Linked DNA regions of Macaca mulatta. Each later gene encodes a partner of the first gene's protein in a complex. Links are inferred from orthologs where the notes say so. Each region holds a gene or a part of one and is shown in the gene's direction. Other genes may lie near its edges.

Evidence for each region.
Region 2: the proteins of MLXIPL (region 1) and YWHAB are in contact, whole or in part, in a crystal structure (PDB 6YGJ), measured with the Homo sapiens proteins. The link is inferred for Macaca mulatta from reciprocal best matches to the Homo sapiens genes MLXIPL and YWHAB. Residues at the interface, in NP_116569.1 of Homo sapiens: Asp118, Ile120, Arg121, Asn124, Ala125, Trp127, Arg128, Ala129, Trp130, Tyr131, Ile132, Tyr134; in NP_003395.1 of Homo sapiens: Gly55, Arg58, Ser59, Trp61, Arg62, Ser65, Ser66, Gln69, Lys70, Arg129, Val178, Tyr181, Glu182, Asn185, Leu218, Gln221, Leu222, Asp225, Asn226, Leu229, Trp230.

Annotation. Positions count from the first base shown.
Region 1 is NC_133408.1:51,105,849-51,120,841, reverse strand, and holds the start of MLXIPL (carbohydrate-responsive element-binding protein), read left to right. Parts: upstream 1-7,026; 5' UTR 7,027-7,054; coding exon 7,055-7,431; intron 7,432-14,993. UniProt on the Homo sapiens protein: Binds DNA as a heterodimer with MLX/TCFL4 and activates transcription. Binds to the canonical E box sequence 5'-CACGTG-3'. Plays a role in transcriptional activation of glycolytic target genes. Involved in glucose-responsive gene regulation.
Region 2 is NC_133415.1:97,730,922-97,745,924, forward strand, and holds the start of YWHAB (14-3-3 protein beta/alpha), read left to right. Parts: upstream 1-7,136; 5' UTR 7,137-7,214; exon of another isoform or gene 7,215-7,653; intron 7,654-8,017; exon of another isoform or gene 8,018-8,090; coding exon of another isoform or gene 8,091-8,135; intron 8,136-8,984; exon of another isoform or gene 8,985-9,079; intron 9,080-15,003. UniProt on the Homo sapiens protein: Adapter protein implicated in the regulation of a large spectrum of both general and specialized signaling pathways. Binds to a large number of partners, usually by recognition of a phosphoserine or phosphothreonine motif.

The DNA of each region.
Region 1 (14,993 bases):
AGATCGCACCACTGCATTCCAGCCTAGGTGACAGAGTGAGTGAGATGACTTCTCAAAAAAAAAAAAAGGATAAACCAAGGGGCTGTTGTGAAGATCCTGCGGACCCGCTAGGTGCTAAGTGCTCCATAAACGTTAGCTTTTTATAGCTAATTCTCACCACAACCCGCCAGATCACTTCGCCTCTCAGAGCCTCAGTCTCCCCATCTGTAAAATGTCAATGAAAATTCTAACACACCCACATATACACACAGTTGAGAGGCTCACTAGTAAATGGAATAATTTATAAAAGTGCCTTTTAATTTTCTTAAGAGACAGGTTCTCACTCTGTCACCCAGACTGGAGTTCAGTGGCATGTTTATAACTCACTGCAGCCTCCAACTCTTGGGCTCAAGTGATCCTCTCACCTCAGCCTCCCAAGTAGCTGAAACTACAGGCCCACAAACAGCTAATTTTTTAGTTTTTGTGGAGACAGAGTCTTGCTATGCTGCCCAGGCTGGTCTCGAACCCCTGGGCTCAAGTTATCCTCCCCTTGGTGTCCCAAAGTGCTGGGATTACTGGCATGAGCCAACACGCCCAGCAGTGATTCTTGCTCTCAAGGAATTTGCCATCTAGTGGGGAGGAAAACCATGTACATCACTCACTGTGAACGCAAAGCCGAATGAAATTAGACTTGTATTAGAACAACGGTGGTAGGGCTGGGCACGGTGCCTCACTCCTGTAATCCCAGCACTTTGGGAGGCCGAGGCGGGTGGATCATGAAGTTAGACGTTCGAGATCAGCCTGACCAACATGGTGAAACCCCATCTCTACCAAAAATATAAAAATTAGCCAGGCGTGATGACGCATGCCTGTAATCCCAGCTACTCAGGAGGCTGAGGCACGAGAATCACTTGAATCTGGGAGGCGGAGGTTGCAGTGAGCCGAGATGGCGCCACTGCACTCCAGCCTGGATGACAGAGCGAGACTTGGTCTCAAAAAAAAAAAAAAAAATAGAAAGAAAGAAAGAAAGAAAAAAAAAAAAAAAAAAGAACAAGGGTGGGAACTCGGAAATAACCTGGAGAACTTGGGGAAGATGTCAGAGGTGGGACTTCAAGGACAGGTGGGCTTTCCCAACGAGGAAGGACAGTCTGGGTGAAGAGTCCTGAGGACCAAGACCGGAAGGCAGGGAGGATGTAATGTCAGGTGGGATGGCTGGGGACAGCCAGGTATTCATACCACAGTTAAGACCTTGTCTTGCATCTCCATGGACCATGAACAAGACTTGTTTGTACAGAGGCTGTAAACTGCTGATTATAGTAACAGAGGCTAGGAGAAGCAGAAAGAGGGTGAGCCAGGTTACACGTACATGGCTGTGCTATCATCTGGGCAATGGTGCCCTGAACAGGAGGTGCATGCCTGTGGTCCCATTACAAGTGGCTCATACTTTCAATCCCAACACTTTGGGAGGCTGAAGTGGGAGGATCACTTTGGCCCAGGAGTTTGAGGCTGCAGTGAGCTATGATCGCGCCACTGCACTCCAGGCTGGGTGACAGAGCGAGACCCTGTCTCTAAACATAGGAGAAATCAGAATCTGTGGACGTCCTTGCATTTATTGGACACTCTGGTGTTTGGATGTTTTGCATTGTGCAGGCAGAGTTTGTCTTTTCAGCAGTTAGGTTTCTAGAGGTGTTATTTTATTTATTTATTTTTTGTTTTGTTTTGTTTTGTTTTTTGAGACAGAGTCTCGCTCTGTCTCCCAGGCTGGAGTGCAGTGGCGCGATCTTGGCTCACTGCAAGCTCCTCCTCCCGGGTTCACGCCATTCTCCTGCCTCAGCTTCCCAAGTAGCTGGGATTACAGGTGTGTGCCACCACGCCTGGCTAATTTTTTGTATTTTTAGTAGAGATGGGGTTTCACCGTGTTAGCCAGGATGGTCTCGATTTCCTGACGTTGTGATCTACCCGCCTCGGCCTCCCAAAGTGCTGGGATTACAGGCATGAGCCACCGCGCCTGCCTAGAGGCGTTCTTAAGCCCTGGAGGAGGGCAGAAATGAGATGCAGATGCCTGTTGAGGGGGAAATTCATGGCTGGGGAAGGAGGGATGTTGGGTGAAGGAGAGAATTCACTCACAATCCTCCCACCCACTCAGATCCAGCTCAGAGGAACATCTCTGAAACCACAGGAGACAATTCTGATGTTTTCAGAGCATGGGGAGAGTAAGATGGTGTGATCTGGAGACACAGCCAGCAGAGACTTGGAGCCAAGATTGCAAGATCCCCAACAAATCACTGAATTCAGGCCAGTCGCGGCGGCTCGCGCCTGTAGTCTCAGCACTTTGGGAGGCCGAGGTGGGAGGATCGCTTGAGCCCAGGTGCTCGAGACCAGCCTGGGCAATATAGTGAGACCTCATCTTTACAACAGCAAAAAGAAGAAAGAAAGAAAACACTGAGTTTGGCCTCCCCATTTTACAGGTAGTGAGACAGATCCCCAGTAAGACAGAGAGAGAGAGATTGGCCCAGGGGTATTCATGGAATTAGCAGCAGAGCAAGGATCAATTTGGATCTTCACCTGAGCCAGGGTGCCCGGAGCCAGGAGGCCCCAATCGAGAGGAGAGGGCCTCCAACCTATCCAACACCCCCCCTCCACAGCACCCACCCGCTCCTCTTAGCCTCATGCCCCTTTCTTCAAGCATCCGCCAAGTCTCTGGGTACCTGGGGTGGGGATTCAGAGATGTCAGGACACAGTCTTGCCTCAGTGGCCTGTTGGGGGTGAGGGAGGAGCCAGACAGGCACACAGGGATAAGCGATGATCCTGTCAGCCTGTGTACCAAGGGCCTCAAAAGACGGTTAACCGCCACCTGACAGCTGGCCACGGTGGCTCACGCCTATAATCCCAGCACTTTCGGAGGCTGAGGCAGGTGGATCACTTGAGGTCAGGAAATCGAGACCAGCCTGGCCAACATGGGGAAACCCCATCTCCACTAAAAATACAAAAATTAGTCGGGCGTGGTGGTCCAAGCCTGTAATCTCAGCTACTTGGGAGTCTGAGGCAAGAGAATCGCTTGAACCCAGGAGGCGGAGGTTGCTGTGAGCCGAGATCAAGCCACTTCACTCCAGCCTGGGTGACAGAGTGAGACTGGCTCAAAAACAAAGTGGGGGCCACTTGGAGATGGCTCTCTGAAGCAGCGCAGAGCCCCTCCAAAGGAGGGAGACTGGGGTGAGCATCAGAACCCCCTTTCTTTTTTTTTTTTTTTTGAGACGGAGTCTCGCTCTGTCGCCCAGGCTGGAGTTCAGTGGCCGGATCTCAGCTCACTGCAAGCTCTACCCCCCGGGTTTACGCCATTCTCCTGCCTCAGCCTCCCGAGTAGCTGGGACTACAGGCGCCCGCCACCTCGCCCGGCTAGTTTTTTGTATTTTTAGTAGAGACGGGGTTTCACCGTGTTAGCCAGGATGTTCTCGATCTCCTGACCTCGTGATCCTCCCGACTCGGCCTCCCAAAGTGCTGGGATTACAGGCTTGAGCCACCGCGCCCAGCCGCAGAACCCCCTTTCTTAACCTGGCAGGGATGGGCAAAGAGAATGCACATCCTACAGAGGGCAGCAGGGAGGAAGGAGCAGAACGGCTGGGGCTCCTGGGAATGTGATATGACCATTTGGCAGAGACAGAAGATACCCGGCCAAGGGAGGCGGGTGGAGGGGCTGGCCTGTGAGCAGCCTCGGATAATCACTTTCCTCCCACAGCCGGTGGCTTGGGCCCTCAGGGCACTGCCATTGTGATCCTGGGTGTTGTGTGATCCTCCCGTGGGCTGGAAGAAAAGTGCTATGTGTCAACCTTTTCCAAGGCTGCAACACGTGGGTGACCACCTCCTCCCCTCTGCCTAACATGACCACGCATAAGATACCTGTCGGAAAGCCAGCGGAGCTCAGCATCTGCCTGAAACTCTCTCTTGCCCCCACCCCGTAGGGACATCCTTGGGGAGAAGTCTGGAAATCTACTAGACTGGGCTTTACTGCTGCCCCTCAGAGATGCTTGGGCGTGTTTTTACTCTCCTGTGCCTCGGAACCCATCTTTGAGGCCGTTAAAGCCTCCAATGAGGTGTCCGGTGTGAATGCCTCAGTCTGGTTTCTGTCCTTAAGGTGAGAAAAGAGCCTTCAGAAGCAGAAACAGGCCATGTACAGTGGCTCACCCTTGTAATCCCAAAACTTTGGGAGGCTGAAGCAGGAGGATTACTTGAAGCCAAGAATTCGAGACCAGGTTGGGCAACAAATTTCATCTCTACAAAAAAAAGTTAGCCAGGTGTGCTGGCATGAGCCTGTAGTCCCAGCTACTGGGGAGGCTGAGGTGGGAGGATTGCTTTGGCCAAGGAGTTTGAGGCTGCAGTGAGCTATGACTGTGCCTCTGCACTCCAGCCTGGGTGACAGAGTGAGGCCCTGTCTCTAAAAATATATAAATAGGCCAGGCATGGTGGCGCATGCCTGTAATCCCAGCACTTTGAGAGTCCGAGGTGGGTGAATCACTTTAAGGTCAGGAGTTTGAGACCACCCTGGCCAGCATGGCGAAACCTCGTCTCTACTAAAAATACAAAAATTAGCTGGGCATTGGGAGGCCGAGGCAGGTGGATCAAGAGGTCAGGAGATTGAGACCATCCTGGCTAACACGGTGAAACCCTGTCTCTACTAAAAATGCAAAAAAATTAGCCAGGCGTGGTGGCGAGCTCCTGTAGTCCCAGCTACTCGGGAGGCTGAGGAAGGAGAATGGTGGGAACCCACGAGGTGCAGCTTGCTGTGAGCGGAGATGTGCCGCTGCATTCCAGCCTGGGTGACAGAACGAGACTCCATCTCAAAAGAAAAAAAAAAAAAATTAGCTGGGCGTGGTGGCGCGCACTTGTAATCCCAACTACTCAGGAGGCTGAGGCAGGAGAATCGCTTGAACCCGGGAGGCAGAGGTTGCAGTGAGCCGAGAACATGCCATTGCACTCCAGCCTGGGCGACAGAGCGAGCCTCCATCTCAAAATAAATAAATAAGTAAAATATATAAATAAATAAAAATACAAAGAAGCAGGAACAAAAGCTGGACTTCAGTGTCAGTGAGAGAAAGGGATCAGAGCTCCTGGGTAGATGCCAGCCTGGGGGATGTCCACCTTCCAGTGAGCCACACACCCCCACCAGTAACAGTCCCTTGAGGCTCCCCTTGGGCGTCTCTGTGCAGCTGAAGTAATGATCACAATTTTTAAAAAATATATATATTTTCTTAAGTATTTTATTTATTTATTTATTTATTTTTATTTTTATTTTTTTGAGACTGAGTCTCGCTCTGTAGCCCAGGCTGGAGTGCAGTGGCGGGATCTCGGCTCACTGCAAGATCCGCCTCCCGGGTTCACACCATTCTCCTGCCTCAGCCTCCCAAGTAGCTGGGATTACAGGCGCCCACCACCACGCCCCGCTAATTTTTTGTATTTTTAGTAAAGACGGGGTTTCACCGTGTTAGCCAGGATGGTCTCGATCTCCTGACCTCGTGATCCACCCACCTTGGCCTCCCAAAGTGCTGGGATTACAGACGTGAGCCACCGCACCCAGCCTATTTTATTTTTTGAAATAGGGTCTCACTCTGTCGCCCAGGCTAGAGTGCAGTAGGGTGCGATCTGCAACCTCCACCTCTCGGGCTCATGTGATTCTTCCACCAGTAGCTGGGATTACAAGCCAAGCACGAACCACCACATCCGGCTAATTTTTGTATTTTTTGCAGAGACGGGGTTTTGCCATGTTGGCTAGGCTGGTCTCGAACTCCTGGCCTCAAGTGATCCACCCACCTTGGCCTCCCAAAGTGCTGGGATTGCAGGTGAGAGCCACCGCGTCAGGCCACCATGTTAACTAGAGGTATTAACAACCTCCTTCGGGCCAGGCCCTTCAGGGGCGTTGCCTGGTGTTTACCACATCAGGCCCCTGAGAGGTGGGGGCTTCCAGCTGTATGGAGGACCCAGAGGAGCTAATATGGGGTCGGGCGGCGGAGGTGGAGGGCAGGAGTTAAGTGAGGGGGGATGGTGATCTCTGGCCTCACAAGAGGGTGCCCCTGAAAGCACAAACCCCAGGTCCTGAGGCGCTTTCAGGCTCAGTTGTGATAGGGGACCTTTTCATTGTTGAAACAGATTCTCTGTCATCCAGGCTGGAGTGCAGTGGCGCGATCTCCGCTCACTGCAGCCTCAACCTCTTGGTCTCAAGCGATCCTCCCACTTCAGCCTTCCGAGTAGCTGGGACTACAGGTGCATGCCACCATGCCTGCACCTGTTTTTTGCACCATAATTTTTGTATGTTTTGTAGAGACAGGGTTTTGCCATGTTGTCGAACTCCTGGGATCAAGGGATCCTCCCACCTTAGCCTCCCCAGTAGCTGGTATTACAGGCTCTCTCCACTATGCCCAGATAATTTTGGCATTTTTTTTGGTAGAGATAGGGGTCTTACCATATTGCTCAGGCTGGTCTCGAACTTCTTTTGTTGTTTTTTTTTTTTTTTGAGACAGAGTCTCGCTCTGTCGCCCAGGCAGCAAGGCAGTGACCGGATCGCAGCTCACTGCAAGCTCCGCCTCCCGGGTTCACGCCATTCTCCTGCCTCAGCCTCCCGAGTAGCTGGGACTACAGGCGCCCGCCACCTCGCCCGGCTAGTTTTTCGTATTTTCAGTAGAGACGGGTTTTCACCGTGTTAGCCAGGATGGTCTCGATCTCCTGACCTCGTGATCCGCCCGTCTCGGCCTCCCAAAGTGCTGGGATTACAGGCTTGAGCCACCGCGCCCGGCCTGGTCTCGAACTTCTGACCTCAAGCCATCCTCCCACTTTGGCCTCCTAAAGTGCTAGGATTACAGGCATGGGGCCCTGGCGCCCGGCCTGACCCTTCTTAAGATCCCTTTGGAGCAAACTAGGGGAGGCTCTGTTAGAATTCCAAGGAGAGACGGGAAGGGAGATGGGGCCGACCCGCCGGAGCTCTAGGGCACCGGGTTCTCACCTGGCGCAAGGACTATGCTAATACAAGACCCGCCCCGTCCCAGGCCCCTCCCATCCGAGCGGCCTATGGGGCGGGGGCTGGGCTATGTTAATGAGGCTGGGCTGGCCACGAGCTGTTCCCTGCGCTGCACGGAGCCAGCACCAGGCGGTGGCGGCGGCGGCGACAGCCATGGCCGGGGCGCTGGCAGGTCTGGCCGCGGGCTTGCAGGTCCCGCGGGTCGGTCCCAGCCCAGACTCGGACTCGGACACGGACTCGGAGGACCCGAGTCTCCGGCGCAGCGCGGGCGGCTTGCTCCGCTCTCAGGTCATCCACAGCGGTCACTTCATGGTGTCGTCGCCGCACAGCGACTCGCTGCCCCGGCGGCGCGACCAGGAGGGGTCCGTGGGGCCCTCCGACTTCGGGCCTCGCAGTATCGACCCCACACTCACACGCCTCTTCGAGTGCTTGAGCCTGGCCTACAGGTGAGGGTGGCTCGGGGCCCCGATGGCCTCGGCCTCCAGATGGGGATTGGGGGGTCTGGGGCAGGACTGCGCGCTGGGGCCCTCAATACCCCACCCGAACCCGGTCCTGCGGCTCCCGGAGGCTCTGGTCACGCCCTGAACATCCCCTTTCTCCCAGCCCCGGGGTCCTCCTATCGCCACCCAGCCCGCTGGCCCCCGACGGACCCGCGCTTTTCTGATTCCCATTCCTCCCCCATCCCCTCTTCCCCGAGGCGCAGACCGCCTGCGCCCCGCCTCTACCTGGACCGCTGGTCCCCTTTCTCTGGTCCCGGCCCCTCCGTCCCTCCAAAAATGCCAGGAGTCCCAGGTCCCTAGGCCTCCCGCGCCCATCCCCACTCTCCACTCTGGAGCCACTCCACCCGACCCCCTGCAGGCCTCGGCCTTCTCCCCAGCAGCCCCGGCCCAGGCCCGCCCTATTCCGGGACCCTGAGATACTCCCAGCTACCCTGATTGTCTCAGTTCATAACCAAAGTGGACTGAAACTGGCCCACTGTCTCGTCCAACTCCCCGCAATTGCTGAGACACCTCTTCTTGATCTGCTATGTCAAGGGTGGCGGGAGGAGCATGTCCCAGAAATGTCCAAGAGGCGCAGCTCGCTGAGGTTACGCCGGTGCCCGGGAGGCCTGGGTTCGCCTACCCGCGTCGCCACACTAGGCTGAGCGCCCGTCGCTGCCTGGGACCCCCGCTTAGCGCCTCAGAGAGCGCACAGGCCGCGCCCCGCTTCCGCTCCACGCCCCGCGTCCCAGAGGAGGGCGCGAACCCGAGGCCTGGCCCAGTGCCCTGGAGCAAAGTTCCCCGGAGCGGAGGGGCCAGTATAAATTATCAACCGAAAACCCGTAGGGGAGAAAGGGGGATCGGCCGGCCTTGATCTTTTCTCTGTGCAAATATTCCTCTTCCTCCGCGGCGCCTCCTCCCCTTCTGAGAACCGCTGGCTACGGATCGGCACCTGCCGCCCTGCGGGGGAGCGGGAGCTGGGGTGGGGACTGTCGGGGGAGTATTGCCTGCCCCCAACCGCGGCCGCCTAGCTGCGACCCCATTGGCTGGAGGCGGAGTAACCTTGGCCCACAAGCTCTGGCCCCGGGCCCAGGTCATGTTGCAACCCGATCGGCCAGGGCGCCGGACCCGTGTGGAAAGTTCAAATTCCCGTCCCTTCTCCCTCCCTCCCCAAATGTCACGCGACTGCCTGGGACAGGGCATCTGAGGTCCTGGTACACCGAATGCCGGCACTCCTCCTTCTGCGGGTCTCCCATTCCCCACCCACCCCCAACTTTGACTTCTCATTATATACTACACATCAGTCTACTTGGGGGGGGCCTCACTTCCAACCCCCACTCCTGACCATGTGTGACCAAAGAGGAGAGGTTCTGGGGAGCTGGCAAGGTAAGGGACAGAGCGCAGCCCAAAAAACTGCTCCCCTAGGAGGCTGACTCAAGGCTGATTTAACCCCAGTCAGGGATAGCTGGGGTAGATAAGTCTGTGTTTTCTTCCCAAATACCCAAATATTAATATATTAACAGTAAATCTCTCTGGCTGGGCACAGTGGCTCCTGCCTGTAAGCCCAGCACTTTAGGAGGCCAAGGTTCTCATCCAAGGATTTCTTGAGCCCAGGAGTTGGAGACCAGCCTGGGCAACATACTGAGAACCCGTCTCCACCAAAAAAAAAAAAAAAAAAAAAAAAAATTTTTTTTTTTTTTTTTTTTTTTTGAGAGGAGTCTTGCTCTTGTTGCCCAGGCTGGAATGCAGTGGTGCGATCTCAGCTCACTGCAACCTCTGCCTTCCGGGTTCAAGAGAATCTCCTGCCTCAGCCTCCTGAGTAGCTGGGATTACACGCGCCCACCACATCCAGCTAATTTTTTGCATTTTTAGTAGAGATTTCACCAAGTTGGCCAGGCTGGTCTCAAACTCCTGACCTCAGGTGATCCGCCTTCCTTGCCCTCCCAAAGTGCTGAGATTACAGGCGTGAGCCACCACGCCTGGCCAAAAAAATTTTTTTTGATCAGCCAGGTGTGATGGCGCATTCCTATTCCCAGCTACTGGGGAGGCTGAGGTGGGAGGATCACTTCAGCCCAGGAGGTTGAGGCTCCAGTGAGACATGATCGTGCCACTGCACTCCACTCATAGAGATAGAGTGAGACCTTGTCGGAAGGGAGGGAGGAAGGAAGGAAGGAAGGAAGGAAGGAGGGAAGGAAGGGAGGGAGGGAGGTGGAGGGAGGAAGGGAGATGGAGGAGGGAAGGAGATGGAGGGAGATGGAAGGAGATGGAGGGAGGGAGGAAGGAAGGAAAGGAGGGAGGGAGATAGAGGAGGGAGGGAGATGGAGGAGGGGGGAGATGGAGGAAGGGAGGGAGATGGAGGGAGGGAGGGAGGAAGGAAGGGAGGGAGGGAGATGGAAGGAGGGAGGGAGATAGAGGAGGGAGGAAGATGGAGGGAACGAGATGGAGGGAACGAAATGGAGGAAGGGAGGGAGATGGAGGGAGATGGAGGGAGATGGAGGGAGATGGAGGGAGATGGAGGGTTGGCTCAGTACCAGGAGAGCTTCTAGATTTCCGCATTTCGTAGAGGAAAAGCCCTAAGGCTTGAACTGGGACAGTGTTTTCATCTTCAAAGACCCCCAGTTTCCGGGGTTCCCTGGAGGGGAGCAGATTACAGAGATTGAGTGTCCCAGGGGACGGACTGTATGGGAAGAGACAGTAAGGCAGAGAGTTCAGAAGGTGGTGGGAAGAATGACCAGCTTGACCCAGGGACCCGCCTGAACCAGGGACCAGCCTGACCCAGAGACCAGCCTGCAGAGGCCTGGCAGGGTTTCACCCTCCACAGGGTAGCGTGGGCAGAGGGAGGATCGAGGAGGCCGTGTTCCGTGGCTCCATGGGTGGAAGCCCCAGGGAGGCAGTTTCTAGAAGCTTCAAGGAAGCACTTGTTCATGGTCAGAGCTGGCTAGCTTTAGGAAGAGGGGCCTCGAGGGTGCAGGGGAGCAAACAGGACCTGGTTAGGTGGCAGTCTAAAAGGAATTCCTGAAAGGTGGGCGGTGGACAGCTGAACCTGGAGTTTTCTCCACTCTCTCTCTGAGTCTGAGTTGTCTTCTCCTTCTTCTTGTTTATTTATTTATTTATTTTTGGAGACGGAGTCTCACTCTGTTGCCCAGGCTGGAGTGCAGTGGCATGATCTCAGCTCACCACAACCTCCGTCTCCTGAGTTCAAGCAGTTCTCATGCCTCAGCCTCCAGAGTAGATTACAGGAATGTGCCACCATCCCCAGCTAATTTTTTTATTTTCAGTAGAGACAAGGTTTCATCATGTTGGCCAGGCTGGTCTCGAACTCCTGACCTCAAGTGATCTGCCCACCTCGGCCTCCCAAAGTGCTGGGATTACAGGTATGAGCCATTGCGTCCTACCTTTTTCTTTCTTTCTTTTTTTTTTTTTCAAGACAGAGTCTCGCTCTGTCGCCCAGGCTGGAGTGCAGTGGTGCTATCGGAGCTCACTGCAACCTCCACCCCATGGGTTCAAGCAATTCTCTGCCTCAGCCTCCCGAGCAGCTGGGATTACAGGCGCCCGCCACCACGCCTGGCTAGTTTTGTTTGTTTGTTTATTTGTTTGTTTTTTGGTAGAGATGGGGTTTCACCATGTTGGCCAGGCTGGTCTTGAACTCCTGACCTTGTGATCCACCCATCTAGGCCTCCCAAAGTGCTGGGATTACAGGCATGAGCCACCGGGCCCAGCCCTTTTCTTCTTTTAATAGTCTTTTTTGCTGTTGTTGCTGTTTGTTTGTTGTTGAGACAGAGTTTCACTGTGACGCCCAGGCTGGAGTGCAGTGGCATGATCTCAGCTCACTGCAACCTCTGCCTCCCGGGTTCAGGTGGTTCTCCTGCCTCAGCCTTCCGAGTAGCTGGGATTATAGGCACGTGCCACCATGCCCGGCTAATTTTTGTATTTTTAGTAGAGACAGGGTTTCTCCATGTTGGCCAGGCTGGTCTTGAACTCCTCACCTCAGGTGATTCGCCCTCCTCGGCCTCCCAAAGTGCCACCGCACCTGCCCCTTTTAATAGTTTTAAATAGGCCGGGCGCGGTGGCTCACGCCTGTAATCCCAGCACTTTGGGAGGCCGAGGCGGGCGGATCACAAGGTCAGGAGATCGAGACCACGGTGAAACCCCGTCTCTACTAAAAATACAAAAAATTAGCCGGGCGCGGTTGTGGGCGCCTGTAGTCCCAGCTACTCGGGAGGCTGAGGCAGGAGAATGGCGTGAACCCGGGAGGCGGAGCTTGCAGTGAGCCGAGATCGCGCCACTGCATTCCAGCCTGGGCGACAGAGCGAGACTCCATCTCAAAAAAAAAAAAAAAAAAAAAAAAAAAAAAAAAGTTTTAAATAGAGATGAGGTCTCACTGTGTTGCCCAGCTGGTCCTGAACTCCTGGGTTCAAGCAATCCTCTCCCCTCAGCCTCCAAAAGTGCTGAGATTACAGACCTGAGCCACTGCTCCCCGTCATACTTTTCTATTGGTCATAAGAAGTTGTTTGTTTTTTTATGAGTCGGGTTCTCACTCTGTTGCCCAGGCTGGAGTGCAGTGGCGTGATTACAGCTCACTTCAACCTTGAACTCCTGGGCTCAAGAGATCTTCCCACTGTAGCCTCCTGAGTAGCTGGGACTAGAGGTGTGCACCACCATGCCTGGCTAACTTTTTATTTATTTATTTATTTATTTTTGAGATGGAGACTCACTCTGTTGCCCAGGTTGGAGTTCAATGGCACCATCTTGGCTCACTGCAACCTCCACCTCCTGGGTTCAAGCAATTCTTCTTGCCTCAGCCTCCCGAGTAGCTGGGATTACAACTGCCTGCCACCACTATGCCTGGCTGATTTTTTGTATTTTTAGTAGAGATGGAGTTTCACCACGTTGGCTAGGCTGATCTCGAACTCCTGACCTCAGGTGACCCACCTGCCTCGGCCTCCCAAAGTGCTGGGGGGATTATAGGCATGAGCCACTGCACCTGGCCCCAGCTAACTTTTTTTTTTTTTTTTTTTTGAGGCGGAGTCTCGCTCTGTAGCCCGGGCTGGAGTGCAGTGGCCGGATCTCAGCTCGCTGCAAGCTCCGCCTCCCAGGTTTACACCATTCTCCTGCCTCAGCCTCCCGAGTAGCTGGGACTACAGGCGCCCGCCACCTCGCCCGGCTAGTTTTTTGTATTTTTTTAGTAGAGACGGGGTTTCACGGTGTTAGCCAGGATGGTCTCGATCTCCTGACCTCGTGATCCACCCATCTCGGCCTCCCAAAGTGCTGGGATTACAGGCTTGAGCCACCGCGCCCGGCCACCCCAGCTAACTTTTAAACTGTAGAAACAGGCTCTCACTATGTTGCCCAGGCTGATCTCAAACTCCTGGCCTCCTACAGTCCTCCTGCCTCGGCCTTCCAAAGTGCTGGGATTACAGGTGTGAGCCATATCCAGCCAGTCGTAAAAAGTTCTTGAACCCTGCTTTAGGCTCTTGCTCCAGGCCAAGTCTCTCATAGCCCCAACTCCTTTTCTTCCTCCTGGGCTTGGATATTGTCACTGTCACATCTCCTCTAACCCTGCCTGGGCCATGAACATCATAACCTTAGCAAGGAAGGGGGAGGGAAGGCAGGCAGGTCGAGGGTGCAACACGGGGTGATCAGAATGGGCTGGGAGGTTGCTGGGATACTGACAAGGACCACAGACTCAGGAGTCCCCCACCAGGTGCCACAGAAGAAGCTGGCCCAGGAGGTAGCAGAGTCTCCCCCCACCCCCCACCCCCATGTCTTCCTACTAAACAGATGGTGTTTATCTAATTCCCAGAGGGAGGGGGCCAGCCAGTGGCCCAGGGAGCTGGGCTGTGTATCTTATTTGGGTAATGAGGCCTGTTGTCCCTGGTGGGGAGGGGGCAGTCCCCCACCCCCACCCCAAAGCAAACACAGGAGCTTGGAGACCAGGGAGGAGAGAGGGCCCAATGACCAATGCACTCAAGGGGAAAGAGGCTGCAGAGTCAGACTGGCTCCCACCCACGTTTCACCCCCAGAATGCAGGAAAAACCGCTGGAGGAAGCAGGCATGGTTTTCTGAAAGACTAAACCTTGGGAGCCAGGCGCGGTGGCTCACGCCTGTCATCCCAGCACTTTGGGAGGCCAAGGTGGGCGGGGCACTTGAGGTCAGGAGTTCGAAACCAACCAGGCCAACATGGTGAAACCCCGTCTCTACTAAAAATAGAAAAATGAGCTGGGCATCGTGGCATATGTCTATAATCCCAGCTACTCAGGAGGCTGAGGCATTAGAATCGCTTGAACCTGGGACATGGAGGTTGCAGTGAGCCAAGATCATGCCACGGCACTCCAGCCTGGGCGGCAGAATGAGGCTCCATCTCAAAAAAAAAAAAGGCTAAGACTTGGGGCCTCAGCCTTCTCATCTGAGCAAGGGAGAAAAAGGTGTGCTAGAGGGGACTGGTACACAGCCCTGGCTTGTGGATGGAGAGGAGAGAGGGAGGGAGAGACTGGCAGGGGGTCTAAGATCCTGAATGTCTTGACCTCCTGGGTCAGCTTCCTGGAGGCAGCAGACTTGGCCTGTGCCTAGCAGGACCCTCACCAGTGTAAACTCTTCCATCCAGTGGATTTTTTTTTCCTTCAAGACAGGATTTTGCTCTGTTGCCCAGGCTGGAGTGCAGTGGCGTGATCATAGCTCACTGTAGCCTCAAACTCCTGGGCTGAAGAGATCCTCCGACCTCTGCCTCCCTAGTAGCTAGGACTACAGGCGCATGCCGCCACCCCCGGCTAATTAAAAAAATTTTTTTTAGAGATGGGGTCTTGCTATGCTGCCCAGGCTAGTCTCAAACTCCTGGGCTCAAGCAATCCTCCCGCCTTGGCCTCCCGAAGTGGTGGGATTACAGCCGTGAGCTACCGCACCCAGCCCACCTTGTGGATTTGATGGACAGCTAAGGTTAGAATGAGGGTGCTCTGTCTCCACGGATACCATTCCTCAGTCCTGGCTGTCTTCCTTTGGGATCTGCTGGTTCATTGTCTTCTGCAGAGCCCTGAGAAGAGCACACGTTCTCGCTGAGTCCAGGTTGCCATCCTGGGAATCTGGGCATGGCAGACACCAAAAGGACCGTACGATGAAGGCAGTGACTGCCACTCTCTATAAAGAGACACCCTCGACCAGGCATGGTGGCTCACGTCTGTAATCCCAGCACTTTGGGAGGCCAAGGTGGGCAGATCACTTGAGGTCAGGAGTTTGAGACCAGCCTGGCCAACATGGTGAAACCCCGTCTTTACTAAAAATACCAAAAAAAATTAGCCAAACATGGCGGCACACACCTGTAATCCCAGCTACTCAGGAGGCTGAGGCACGAGAATTGTTTGAATCCGGGAGACGGAGGTGGCAGTGAGCTGAGATCCCACCACTGCACTCCAGCCTGGATGACAGACTGAGACTCCGTCCTAAAAACAAAACAAAACAAAACACAGAGGCTCCCTCTCTACCAGGCAAACCATGGCCATCCCCTTTGCCTCTCCTGCGCCTAAGGAGGCTTGAGT
Region 2 (15,003 bases), on another chromosome or scaffold:
GGTGACCTTGGGTTTGGCCATGAGTTTTTAGATATGAGAAAGAAAAGACACTTTTTATCTGAAGAATGTGAGCCCCTTTATGAGGCCCAAAAAGGCATTGAAATGTGACAGCACTCATGTCTCCTCCCAGCTGGAGGTAAGTAATCATTTCAAAGATGCCTGTTAAATGAATTATAAACTGACTATTGCCATCCAGAGTTGGGAATTAACCTAAAACACCCCATGCTGAACACCATAATGTATACTCTGTAGTTCAAGAATGTATATAGCCAATCACTAATCAATGTTATCTCTGTAAACCAATGACAATTCCTTAAAAACAACTTTTGTAATCGTCCCCTCTCCCTTTGTTTTTGTTTTTTGTTTTTTGTTTTTTTTGGAGACGGACTCTTACTCTGTCGCCCAGGCTGGAGTACAGGGGCACGATCTCAGCTCACTGCAACCTCCACCTCCCAGGTTCAAGTGATTCTCCTGCCTCAGCCTCTCAAGGAGCTGGGATTACAGGTGCACACCACCACACATGGCTAATTTTTGTATTTTTAGTACAGATGGGGTTTCACCATGTTGGCCAGGCTGGTCTCGAACTCTTGACCTTAGGTGATCTGCCCTCCTCGGCCTCCCAAAGTGCTGGGATTATGGGCGTGAGCCACTGCACCTGGCCGCATCACCCCCTCTCCTAATTTGTTCTTTTTTCTTTAAAAACTTGAGCCTCTCTTTTGTTCTCTGGGGCACTTCCTAGTGTTTCCCTGGCTGCAGTCCTCAACTTTGGTCCAAATAAACTCTATATTAATTTTGCCTGAGTTTCTTTCTTTAGCTCAACAGATGTAACATAAAAAACATGATCCATGAAAGACAAATTGGTAAGTTAGACTTCATTAAAATTAGTGCAAAGTCACTGTTAACAGGATAAAAGACAAGCTACAGACAGGAAAAAAAAATCTTTGCAAAGCACATATCACATAAAGGACTAGTATGCAAAATATACAAAGAATTCTTAAAATTCAATGATAAAAAAGCAAACAATCCAATTTAAATAAGTGAAAAAATCTGAACATACACCTAACCAAGGAAAATATACAGGTGGTAAATAAGCACATGAAAAGATACTCAACATTGTATGTCATGAGGGAATTGCAAACTAGAACAATGAGATACCATTACACCCCTATTCAACTGGTTAAATTCAGAAAAACAAAAACACAAACAACAACAAAAAACCCTCACTATATCAGATGCTGGCATGAATATGGAGCAGCAGGAGCTGTTATTGTTGGTGGAAATACAAAATAGTACAGCCCCTTTGGAAAACAGTTTGGTAGTTTCTTTATTTTTCATTTATTTATTTATATATTTATTTATTTATTTGATAGAGTCTCATTCTGTCGCCCAGGCTGGAGTGCAGTGGCATGATCGCCTCAGACTGCCAAATAGCTGGGATTACAGGCACCTGCCACCACGCCTGGCTAATTTTTTTTTTTTTTTTTTTTTTTTTTTTTTTTAGTAGAGACAGGGTTTCACCATGTTGGCCAGGCTTGTCTTGAACTCCTAACCTCAGGTAATCCACCGATCTCAGCCTCCCGAAGTGCTGGGATTAGTGGCGCATTCTCGGCTCACTTCAATCTCTGCCTCCTGGGTTCAAGTGATTCTCTTGCCTCAGCCTCCCAAGTAGCTGGGACTACAGGCATGTGCCACCACGCCCAGCAGATTTTTGTATTTTTAGTAGAGATGGGGTTTCACCATGTTGGCCAGAATGTTCTCGATCTTTTGACCTGGTGATCCACCTGCCTCGGCCTCTCAAAGTGCTGGGATTACAGGCGTGAGCCACCGTGACCAGCAGCCTATTTTTATTTTTACTGTTTTTTTAGAGATGGGGTCTTGCTGTGTTGCCCAGGCTGGAGTACAGTGGCTATTCACAGGCACGATCCCACTACTGATCAGCACGGGAGTTTTGACCTGCTCCGTTTCCAACCTTGGCCAGTTTACCCCTTCTTAGGCAATCTGGTAGTCCCCTGCTCCCGGGAGGTCATCATATCGATGCTGAACTTAGTGCAGATGCCCAGGCAACATAGTGCACTGCAGCCCAGAACTCCTGGCCTCAAGTGATCCTTCTGCCTCAGCCTCCTAAGTAGCTGGGACTATAGGCATGCACCACCACACCCGGCCAGTTTACTAGTTTCTAACAAAGCTAAACGTCGTCTTAACATATAATCTAAGAGTCACACTCCTAGGTTGAAAACTTATGCCCACGCAAAAACCTGCACACAGATGTTTACTGCGGTTTTCTTCATAATTGTCAACAGCTGGATCCAGATATCTCTCAGTAGGTCTATCAGTTCCCTAAGCCTGCCATAACAAAGGGCCACAAACTGGGTGGCTTCAAACCACAAAAACGTCTTCTCTCACAGTTCTGGAGGCTAGAAGTCTAAAATCAGTGTGACAGCAGAGTCGTGCTCCCTTTGAGACTCTGAGTAGAATCCTTTCATGCCTCTTCCTGGCTTCTTGTGGTGCCCAGCAATCCTTAGTGTTCCCTGGCTTGTAGCTCATCACTCCAGTCTCCGCCTCCATTGTCATGTGTTGTTCCCCATGTGTGTCCTGTCTTCAGATGGCATTTTCCTCCTTCTTTAGGGCACCAGCCACATTGGATTACAGCCCACTTGAATGACCTCATTTTAATTGATTATACTGCAAAAGCCCTTTTCCAAATAAGGTCACATACACAGATACCAAGGGTGAAAGCTTCAACATATCTTTCTGGAGGATACAAGTCAATCCTTAAGAATAGGCTAATGGGACGGGCGTGGTGGCTCACGCCTGTAATCCCAGCACTTTGGGAGGCTGAGATGGATGGATCACCTGAGGTAAGGAGTTCAAGACCAGCCTGGCCAACATGGCAAAACCTCATCTCTACTAAAAATACAAAAATTAGCCAGGCATGGTGGCATGCACCTATAATCCCAGCTACTCGTTTGAACCTGGGAGACGGAGGTTGCAGTGAGCTGAGATCATGCCACTGCACTCCAGCCTGAGCAACAGAGTGAGACTGTCTGGAAAAAAAAAGAATAGGTTAATGGATAAACATACTGTGGCAGATTCATACCAGGGGATATTTTTGTTTGTTTGTTTTGTTTTTTTGTTTGTTTTTGAGATGGAGTCTCACTCTGTTGCCCAGGCTGGAGTGCAGTGGCGCAATCTCGGCTCACTGCAAGCTCCGCCTCCCAGGTTCACGCCATTCTCCTGCCTTAGCCTCCAGAGTAGTTGGGACTACAGGCACCCGCCACCACGCCCGGCTAATTTTTTGTAGTTTTAGTAGAGATGGGGTTTCACCGTGTTAGCCAGGATGGTCTCGATCTCCTGACCTCGTGATCCACCTGCCTCAGCCTCCCAAAGTGCTAGGATTATAGGCGTGAGCCACCGTGCCTGGCCACAAGGGAATATTTTTAAGCAATCGAAAGAAATAAGTTATCAAATCATAAAAAGTCATGAAGGAAACTTAAATCACATTGCTCAATAAAACAATCCAGTCAGAAAAGGCTACATATGGGCTGGGTGCAGTGGCTCACACTTTATTACCCAGCACTTTGGGAGGCCAGGGCAAGAGGATTGCTTGAGCCTGGGAGTTCAAGACCAGCCTGGGTAACATGGCAAAACCCCATTTCTATAAAAAATACAAAAATTAGCTGGGCATGGTGGCACATGCCTGTAGTCCCAGCTACTACGGAGGCTGAGGTGGGAGAATCACTTGAACCCAGGAGGTCGAGGCTGCAGTGAGCCGTGATTGCACTACTGCACTCCAGCCTAGGTGACAGAGTGAGACTCTGTCAAAAAAAAAAAAAAAAAAAGAAAGAAGGAAGGAAGGAAGGAAGGAAGGAAGGAAGGAAGGAAGGAAGGAAGGAAGGAAAACGTATTGTATGATGCAACTATATGACTTTCTAGAAAAGGTAAAACTATAGTGTAAAAGGTCTGTGGTTGCCAAAGGTTGAGGTGAGGGGAGGGAGTGAGGGATGAAGAGTTGAAGAAAAGATTTTTAGGACAGTAAAACTTTTATTTATATACATGACATTACGCATGTGTCGAAACCTACAGAACTATGTACAACATAAAGAATAAACCCCAATGTAAACTATGGACTTTAGTTAATAATGATGTATTAATACTGGCTCATCAATTGCAACAAATGTACCACTCTAATACAAAATGTTAATAATAGGGTAAATTGTGTGGAGGAGGGAGAGGGAATGTTTGAACTCTAATATCTGGTCAATTTTTCTGTAAACCAAAAACTGTCCTAAAAAATTAAGTCTATTGGCCAGGCACAGTGGCTCACACATGTAATCCCAGCACTTTGGGAGGCCATGGCAGGAGGATCACTTGAGGCCAGGAGTTTGAGCCCAGCCTGGGCAACATAAATGAGACCCCGTCTCTACAAACACATTTTTAAAAATTAAGTCTATAATTTGAAAAAAGATTCATTTCAGTATATAAGGCTCAAGTATCATTTCTTTCAGGAAATCTTTCCCGCTCTCCCACCATAGTCCCAAGATGGGTTCGGTGCTCTTCTCCCAAGCTGCCATAATACCCTGCACATATTTTTATTTCTATGGTTGCACCTACCACATTGTATTTTAACATTTCTCTGTATTGCTGTCAATTCACAGCTGTGGTTTGCTGACCGTTGGCCTAGAATGCAGAGATGGTGAAATAATCTAATCCATGCAACCCTTAAACAGGCACCTAGGAATGCCTGACAAAGGGCACTTCTGTTCCCTCAATGCACTGTTGATGTCATTTGTGGTACAATCATTATTAGCCCTCTGGTCTGTTAGGCTATTTTCTGGATGATAGCATAAGGCACAGTTATGTGACATTAAAGGTTACTTAGCCTGAGTAGTCTTTAGATTACTGGCCTTGGGTCTGCCAAAGACCATCCTCATGGGGAAGTTTTTGCACTAGGAAACCTCTCCAGGATTCAAATCCAATGGTTTTGACTCAAATCATGCTGTTAACATCACACAACACATTCTCAATCTTGTTCAACTTAAAAGGTGGTACAGTACAGGGGTCACTGGCACACACGCCTACATGACAGATAACATAAGTGACGAAAACAGACTCAGGTCGAGAAGGGTTCCTGACACTTGGGAAAGTCCATACCCAGTCTAGAGTAGGCAGCCACTCCTTGGCTTCAGCCAATTGTTGCCACACAGAAATGTGGACACGGTGTTACCAGACAAGGTGTAGAGGCAGATTTCTGTTCACACAGAAACTTTTCAGTTTAAAAAAGTGTTGGCAACTAAGTCAAACTGCTTAGAAATACTGGAGATGGCATATTGGGAAGGTAAGGAATCATCCAATTGAATTGTGGTATTTACGATGGGGGAGAAATAGCAGCTAAAGGATAAGGGCAGCTTTTGGAGAACGCTGATTGTCTCAAGGAACTTACATATTGTCATCTAGGTCTGAGTGCACACTAAATAATTTAAGCAAGAACAGGACACGATTAGAATGGTATTTTTAAAAAGATCACTTGGCAGTTGACGGGCGAGGCTGAGAGTAAAACAGTGAATTAGAAGTCTGTCATTTAGCTAAGTAAGGGTAAAGGCAAGACGGCAAAGGCCTATTTACTTGGTTCTTTCTCCTACCCGACTGCAAACTCCAAGACAGCAGGGCCCCATCTGCCTTGTTCATTGCTGTGTCTCCAGCACTAAGCAAAAAGTCTGTTCCACATTTGTTGAAAGAATAAATGAACAGGAGAGAGGGAAGGCGAGAGGCATTTTGAAGGACTGAGTTTAAAAATCAACTACCTTGAAGCCGGGCAAGGTGGCTCATGCCTGTAACTGTAATCCCAGCACTTCGAGAGGCTGAGGCGGGTGGATCACCTGAGGTCAGGAGTTTGAGACCAGCCTTGCCAATACGGCGAAGCCCCGTGTCTACTAAAAATACAAAAATGAACCGGGAGTGGTGGCATGCCCCTGTTATCCCAGCAACTCAGGAGGCTGAGGCAGGAGAATTGCTTGAACCTGGGAGGCACAGACTGCAGTGAGCCAAGACTGTGACACTACCTGGGCGACAGAGAGAGACTCTGTCTCAAAAACAGAAAACAAAACAAAACAAAATCAACTACCTTGAGAGGAGTAGAATGTCGGTAATTGTGAGAGCAGTCATGAGGGGAGGGGAGCCATGGAAGCCTGTTTCCTTCCCTGAACTTCCTCAAGGAGGGGGCATCTTAAAGACGGAATCATGTACACAGATTTTTGTGGGGTTTTTTTGGAGACAGGGTCTCACTCTGTCGCCCAGGTTGGAGTGCAGTGTCATGACCATAGCTCACTGCAGCCTACAACTCCTGGCCTCAAGCAATCCTCTCACCTCAGCTTCCAAAAGTGCTGAGACTATAGGCGCGAGCCACCGCGCTCGGCCCTACACAGGTTTTTGAAAAAGACCTTTGTGCGTTGGATTCCTGGCACTTCAAGTGGCCTCTTCAGTCTACCAAAGAAGGAAAAAGTAAGTACTCCGAAGGATTGAAAGGAGGATTAAGGGAACATTGAGGGATGAGCAATTTCTGTTCTTCCCTAGCTCCACTATTCCCAAAGCACACAGCAAGAGGACTGACATCGGCTTCCGACACCGTGAGGATTACTTTCTGGGTGGAGGGGGGACTGCTAAACCTCGAGTCTCCGTACCTGGCCCTGGCGCGTTTCCAGTCTGAGCAGAAAAGGAAACCCCCACCCACACCTCACTCCTAGTCCTCCGGGTGCCTTTACAGCCCGTATCTTGACCACCCCCAGCTCCGCCCTCTCTCCTCCCACCTCCTTTTCCCGCTCCCCCGCCCCATTTCCTTCTTCTCCGCCCACCTCCTCCTGGGTCCCTCCCCCGGCCATGCGCCCTGCCCCGGCCGCGGCAACCCTGCCCTTCGTTCTTCTTCCTCCTCCCTTCCGTCAGCGCCCCTCCCGTGGGGCCGCGGCAACCCCGTGCCTCGCTTGCCCAATGAGAACACGGCGTGGGGCGGGGCGCGGCCAGGACCGGAGCGGAAGTGGCGACCGGAGCGGAAGTGGAGCTGCCGCCACTGCCGCCGCCGATTCCGGAGCCGGGGTAGTCGCCGCTGCTGCAGCCACTGCAGGCACCGCTTCCGCTGCCTGAGGAGTGGGCTTGGGAAGGAAGAGGTCATCTCGCTTGGAGCTTTGCTCGGAAGGGTCTTTGTTCCCTGCAGCCCTCCCACGGTGAGTGCGGCGCGGGGTCCGACCGGGGCCCCCGGGGGCCCAAATTCGAAGCCCCTCTTTGGCAGCTGCGACGACGGCGGCCCAGCGGGTGGGCCCCGGGGGATAGCGGTGCGCTGCCTCTTCCGCTTCGCGCGGCCGCCGGCGGCAAGGCCAGGCCTCGCAGCGGCCCCTCCCTGTTTCCGGGGCCGGGCCCTGTACCTCTTGGAGAGGCCCGGGCCTCCCTCGCCGCCTAAGGTCCTGCCGGCCGGGCGGGGTGCAACTCTGTGCTGCACCGTGAGGGACAGCGGAGCCGAGGGTCCCGGACTCTCCCTCACTATCTGATTCGGTCCCTCACGCGACCCCTCCCTGCGTCTTGGTCGGCAAGAACCGTCCTCTTCAGCCCAGTCACCTCTGCTCCGTGCTTTCCGGTTTCCAGAAATTAAAATTTAATCAAACGCGGGTGAGTTTTCTAGCCCCAGTCCCCCTGTTTGACTCCTCCTGGATGAGTAAGGGGTTTAACCTTGGGAGACAGCAGTGGGGGAACCCCCTCCCATTTTGCAGTAAAACCATTTCATCATCCTTAACTGGTTATGGAGCCTGGCAGGACCCAAGATTCCCTAGGAAGGGAATTGGGTTTGAATCAAGAAAATGTGTTTGTTGGAGCCGGTTACTGAGTCAGGCCGGATCCCCAGGAAAAAATATCGGGATGAGAATCGGAATATTTTCCCACAGTATTTACCGTCATTTAATGCCAAATTCTTTTGTGTCTTTACCCCAAATTCCCCCTATTGTGTGTTAGCACGTTTTTCGGTCTGAAATTTGCCCGGTGGCTTCCTGGTCGGGGGGTGGGGAGCGGAGGGAAGAAGAGGTGGGAAGGTGAGTGCATCTTTGCCGCAAATGGAGAACTCCCATATAATGAGGTTTCCAGAGGTGGCAGCCTTGGTAAGCAATTTGCCAGCCTTTCTGTGAAATGCATGTCTCTTGTCGTTGCCTTCATTGCATTTCTCTTTGGTAAGGCTAGATAGCATCAGGTCCTGATTTTGCTTACCCTGTGTGGGAGATGGAATTTGGCAAGATGATGCTATGAACATAAAATCAGCCTGCCACGGAAGCCAAAACAGAAAGGTGAAGCACTTATAAGAATATGAAAATTGTCTGCATTTCTCATTCTGTCAGTTCATATGAAGCCAGACACAGATGCAATTTATGGAGCTGGACGCTGCAGCTTTTGCATTTTCATGTTGGAAATTTATATAAGTATTTGTTCTTGGTGAATTTCTTCTTGACTGCTTCCAGGGTACCCTATTTCTTACTTAGGGATATCTCATTTGTTTGAGCCCTCATTTTTCTTGGATTCCTGTCCTTGGCAACACGAAGTGTATGAGTGTACAACCTGTCAATCTTATTGGACCTAAGTTAGAAATTTAAGTGTGGCTTTCAAAATGGAAGGCAAATAATCCTGTAGCAACTGCAGAATTATTTTCCTAGCCTGCCCCTCCAATGAGATAAGAAACCATTCACCTATCTTGCAGATGAAGTCTTTATGAGAAATGAGGTGATTTGGCCTAGACTCTACACCTAGTTTTTTTCAAATTGAATATCCTCATTCATCAGTAGCAAATATGGATTGCCAGCCCCTGGAGTATGACTCCTACCCTATAATCTTTTGTACATTTCCCGTCTTGCAGTGCTTGCTATATTGAAGCCATTTTAGAATTGGAGCACTATAGATCAGGGAGGCAGCCTGTATAAAACCAGGCTGAGCAAATTCCCACGATGCTGGTTCTCTAGGCAGAGTCTCCAGAGATTTGGGCCTCTACAAAAAGTGCATTTTGCCCATTTGGCTGTGGATAGAGAAGCAGAAAGAGCACTGGACTTGGAGTCAGGTAAATTTGGTTGAAATCTTGCCTGCAATATTTTCTAGCTTTCTGAATCTTCAGCATGTTAGTCTGTGGTTCTTAGTTTTCTTATCTCCAGGGTTATCATTAAGCCTTTTTTATAAACTGTAAATTGTTAAATATAAGCTTTTGGTTTTTTAATTAGAGTTCACTATTAATGGCTTTTTCTCTCCAGTTAACATCTGATGACACTAAACCCTGCTTTGTACACAAGTTGCTTTCAAAAAATGGTATATTATTATGGGACTTTATTTTGCATGTAGGCAAATCTAGTCTTTCTGAATCATTTTCTCATCTATATAGCGCAAATGGTAATGCAGCTTTGGATAATTTTTGTTGTGACAAGCTCAATGAAAATAAGCATCTGGGATATAGTTGGGGTTCAATAGATGTTTAACCATCTGCATGAATATACACGTGTATAGATTAGACATAGCGTATGTGCTATTCATGGACATCTATATAGAATCCATCCATTTGTGATTTATCTGATGAGGTGGTATCAATTAGTCTATAATAATAATTACCACTTACAGTACTTACTGTGTGCTAAGCTTTCTTTTAAGCACTTTAAGCATATTAGCTCAGTCTTCATAACAACCAATGAAAGGTAAGACTATTAGCCCCATTTTACAGATGAGGAAACTAAGGCACTGAGAAGAATAATTTTCCCGAGGTCTCACACACAGCACAAGGTAAGTGCCAGAACCAGGAATGAAACTAGATGATCTGGTTGTAAGGAATGATATTATAGATTTCTACGTGTGGTAGAGACAGCACATGTATATGTTTTGTGTGAACACCATTTAGACCTTAATTTTTCTTCACACCAATCCTAATAAACGTTTGAATGGGAATACTAGCTATTTTTGAAGATAGATACAGGACGATTTATTGTGGAGCATATACCCATTCTGGCCTGTAGGGATGATATTGTTAGCATGCATCAGGAAGCAAGCTTGTGAACAATCCAGTTTTTCTAGTACTTGCTTCATACTAGGGAGAAAGTCATCAGTTACTTTGGCATAGAATGTTAGGTTCTTCATCTAAGAGAATTTGATTATGACCATTAATTTTTGTTTATCATACTACTTTATCAGTAGATGTTCAGATTTTTCTTATTTTTGTTGGCAAGGAGGAAATGAGGAAATATATCTACGTAAATAGAGAAAAACTTCTAAATTAAAACATCCTGTTGTGCTACCTGCTCTTTCAGTGCCAACAAACTGAGTTTTCCTTTAAATGCTGGTACCTTAGAGAATGAACTAAAATTTCCTTGTAAAGGTACTTTTAAGTTCCTTGTTTCTACATTTTTCTAGGGAAAGATGACAATTCACTAGTTTAAGGGGCAAGAAATTATGGTTATATAATAGCAACCTTTAAGCTTTAGAATCCTTTTGATCTCTATGTGAATATGATCTTAGCAGTCATCTGTATGTCATGATGGAGAAACTAACGAGCTGGATTCTGAGGGAATTTTTCTGAGGGGAATACTTGAGGAAACAGACTAAAAGTGCTTTCTGTGTCATGATAAGTGTGCTGAAGGCCAATCATATTACTGCTTTCTCTACTAAAAGATTTTCTAATAGAGGTATGGTTATATGTATCTAATACTCATAATGAGATGTAAATGATCAATGGCCTCAAGTCATTCCTAGCAGATTGTAGGTTAGTTGACTTCTTTTTTTTTTTTTAATTCTGGCCAGTTCTTTATTATCTAAGTTTTTCCCTTACTGGTTATTTTATTGTTTTCCCTAAGAGAACCAACAGGAAGTTATTTCCAAATGGCCTTGATCAGGACAAGAAGATTGAAGGCTACAATAAAGTAGATATGAGTCCTATTATTATTATTTGCCCTCAGCTAAGAGCTTTCCTTTAAAATTTGACATTTTGATGAGTCTTTGGCGTGTTTTATGCTGTTTTTAACTCCTTGATTTTGTTTTTGTTTTTAAAGGTAGATATGTTAGCTTAATAGGCCAGTTTTAAAATTTCACTGTAACAACTTTGTATAGTTCTTTTAAAAATTGGCAATTCCCTTTTCCTTAAATGAGTTTTGGAGATCATAATTAATCTTTAGGATATAGGGTTACATAAAGGCAAGAACATTAATTTTAAAATTAATGTTGGTTTAGATCCCAGACCTGCCATATATAGCTGTGTGACCCTGAATGAGTTAACTCTTTGCGTCTATAAAAGGGGACGATGTCACCTGCCTCATAGGATACTTAGGATCAAATGCGTTTCTAGGAATCCCTGAGTGCTTTGCAGGCCATAAATGATGGATGGATATTTTTATTATTTACTAAACGAGTTAGCTGGTTTGGGTTTTTGTATAGTGAACTTTTTATATAGCGAACTGATTGGACTTCTGAATGGAGGAGATGAACAGAAAGTAATCCAAAGGCCTGTTGAAAGTCAGTTTGAATTGGCTGGGCTCAGTGGCTCATGCCTGTAATCCCAGCACTTTGGGAGGCCGAGGCAGGCGGATCACGAGGTCAGGAGATCAAGACCATCCTGGCTAACAAAAAATTAGCCGGGCCTGGTGGCAGGCGCCTGTAGTCCCAGCTACTTGGGAGGCTGAGGCAGGGGAATGGTGTGAACCTGGGAGATGAAGCTTGCAGTGAGCCGAGATCGCGCCACTGCCCTCCAGCCTGGGCAACAGAGCGAGACTCCATCTCAGGAAAAAAAAAAAAGTCAGTGTGAATCTATAAATACAATGATTGGTAGCTGAAAAGTATTAGTCAAAATGTATAGTGTTGCCTCCTGATTTAGAGCTGGCTGGCTGTTTTCAAAAAGTAATCTAAGACTATAAAAACAGTCTATATTTTAAAGGTCAGATGTGCACTACCTTCCTCTGTCCACATAGGAGATAATTGCTTTTTCACTTTTTAAGAATGCATCAGGTGATCAAGTAGTCACTCAGTGTGCTAGGCCTTGTGCTCCACATTGGGGGTCCAAAGATACAAGTCTGGATTCCTACCTTAAGCTCACAATCCAGTGTGGGAACCAGCAGAGACACTTGCATTGCAGTAAACTGTGATAAGGGCCATTTTAGAAATAGGCATAGGGAAATTGTTGTGTGCCTTTCTTTTAAAAGTCTTTCAGAAGCAGAGTACGTGTAAAATAAATGAGGTACATGGTAAGTTTCCCTTCACTGGCTGACCATTTGTTTTTAAGTTTTGTGTGGAATGTACTGTGGTTGCCATTTATTCGAGTGCTTAATGTTTAGCATCATAAACAGGTTTACTCCTTACAGGAACCCTAGTGAGAAGATTTGCCTATCTTTTTTTTTGCAGAGTCTCGCTCTGTTGCCCAGGCTGGAGTGCAGTGGCATGATCTCAGCTCACTGCAGCCTCTGTCTTCAGGCTGCCTCAGTCTCCCAAGTAGCTGGGATTACAGGCGCCCACCACTATACCCATCTAATTTTTTAATATTTTTAGTGAGACGGGGTTTCACCATGTTGGCCAGGCTGATCTTGAACTCCTGACCTCAAGTGATTGCCCTCCTCGGCCTCCTAAAGTGCTAGGATTACAGGCATGAGCCACCACGCCCAGCCGAGATTTGCCTGTATTATGGATGAGAAAACAGATTCACAGAGGTCACATAGCCTATGGACTTGGTGTGCGGTACTGGTAACTCAGACTGATTGGCTTCGATATGTCAGTGGGCCCCAAACTGTAGAAATCTATTCATGAGGTCAACCAATTGGACTGTCTTTATGGATCAGAATTAACATAGTGTCTTTTGGTTTGATTACTTAAAGTCAAGAAGTCAATTTATTGTCATATCTACCATTAAGTCACATGTGTAACCTTGCGCCTGTTACTTAACACCCTCAGTAAGTTTAATCATGGCTAATTGGACATAATTAGCAGTGAAATTCAACAACTGATATGAAAGAGGGGAAGGGATTTTGAAATAATAGAAATGCAGTTTCTCTCCAAATTCAGTGTTCACTGGACATAGTGCTAAGGACTTTGTATTACAGATATGCTGTGTTTTGTTTCCTAACAAAGAACCTGCAAATGTTTGAATGGAATTAAATTTATTACAGGACTCTAAATTTTATGTGTAGAATGGCACACAGACATTTTTATAGTGGGTGTTTTTTAGTGAGTAGTTTTCTCTGAGAGCCAGGAGTGCTTAACTTTTTCTGGGTAACACCCACTAACCACCTGGTCCCACTGACTTTCTCAGTCCCTCCTGCAGTAGCTTGGCATCTGATTTTTCTTCAGCAGAGTGACTCCAGAACTAAAACTTCTACTTTACAGTGCTGTGGATGCTCTATCTAGAATGGTACATCTGTGAATGCTGTTCAGAATATGTGATCAGTTCCTTACCCCATTGAAACATTTGAGCCTAGATTTTTCAGATTCTCCTGTCAGTTTTCTTCCTTGTTCTCATTTCTTTATCTGCTTTGGCCTTTGATTTTTATTTCATCTAGAAAAACATACATGCACTTTATTAATAACATCTCTTTTTAAGTCATGACCTAGCTACCTTTAAACCTCTTTCCTCTAATTCTGTCTGGTTGCTTTTCTAAGGAGAGGCATTGTAACCCTTAAACATGTGCTGTTTTTTTTTTTTTAATTGATGCATAATAGATATACATGTGCTCTTTTCTTGTGTTTCTACCACTAGAGTTTAAGCTCGCTGAGGGGAGGACTACACTGCTTTCTTTTAAATTCCTCTCAGTAATCCAAAGAGTTCTTAGAAATTTGGTAGTTTTTCATTTTGTAGTTATTTCAGCACACATTGGATTATATGTGTTACATTTTTGTGAGGTAGCTTAAGAAGAAAGAATAAGAATGGCTATGAGCCTTTATTCTAACCAACACTATACGGGCATTTTATGTTCATTATCTTATTTGATAGCTATTAATGTCTCCTTTAAACACTGAGAAAACAGATTCAGATAAGTTACAATGTGGAAATGTAGAAAAATCACCTACTTTCTCTTTAGAAGCTCAGATGTGTATGTAAGGCTTGCTAGAAGCAGACCCCACCATATATTTTGTATGTATAGAGCTTGGGTAATTCCTGGCATATAATAATGGAGTCCTCATTTGAAATTTCCAGCAAATTATTAAACTCAAAGCTTATTATTTTAGAATTGAGCATGTTCACTTTTAAAGGCTACAGCTGTCATTTTCAACTCTATCTTTGCAGTGCCTTTATTAAAAAAAATGGATTAGCAATAGGTAATCTTCTTTTTCTTTTCTTTTTTGATTCTTATCCTAGGATATCTGCTCTAGCCACTGGGAAATAACTTCTCAGTATTTTGACCCTGACTAGAAAGATATCACTTGGGGAAGGAATTGAGATAGAGGGGCTAGGCTGTTTCCTAGATCCTCTATTTTCAGCATTTATTATCTGATTTAGGATTTTCTTCAAAGAAAGAGTGCCTTTAGAATTATGTTTCATAGCTGTTTATCTGCACTCTTGATTTCTCTTTTTAAACAGAAAAACACTTTTTTTCTTAAAAAAATAAATAGTACCAAAATTTTTAAAAAGTAATACATACTTGAAGAAAATTCAGAAAGATAAGAAAATGAGGATATAATAATGTTATTACCCAGAGAGACAGCCAGTGTTAACCATTTGGTGTTAACCTTTCTTTTTGGGTTTGTTTGCTGTTGAGGGGATATTTTACAGAAATAAAATATTATTGTGCAACTTCCTCCCCCCAGCCTCCATTGCTCTTAAATAAGTCTTTTTATGACGTTAAAGCTCTTCTTTTGATGGCCACGTAATCTTGTACCATCTATCTCTCCCCCCACCCACCTTTTTTTTGAGATGGAGTTTCACTCTTGTCGCCCAGGCTGGAGTGCAGTGACGCAATCTTGGCTCACTGCAACCTCCACCTCCCGGGTTCAAGTGTTTCTTCTGCCTCAGCCTCCCGAGTAGCTGGG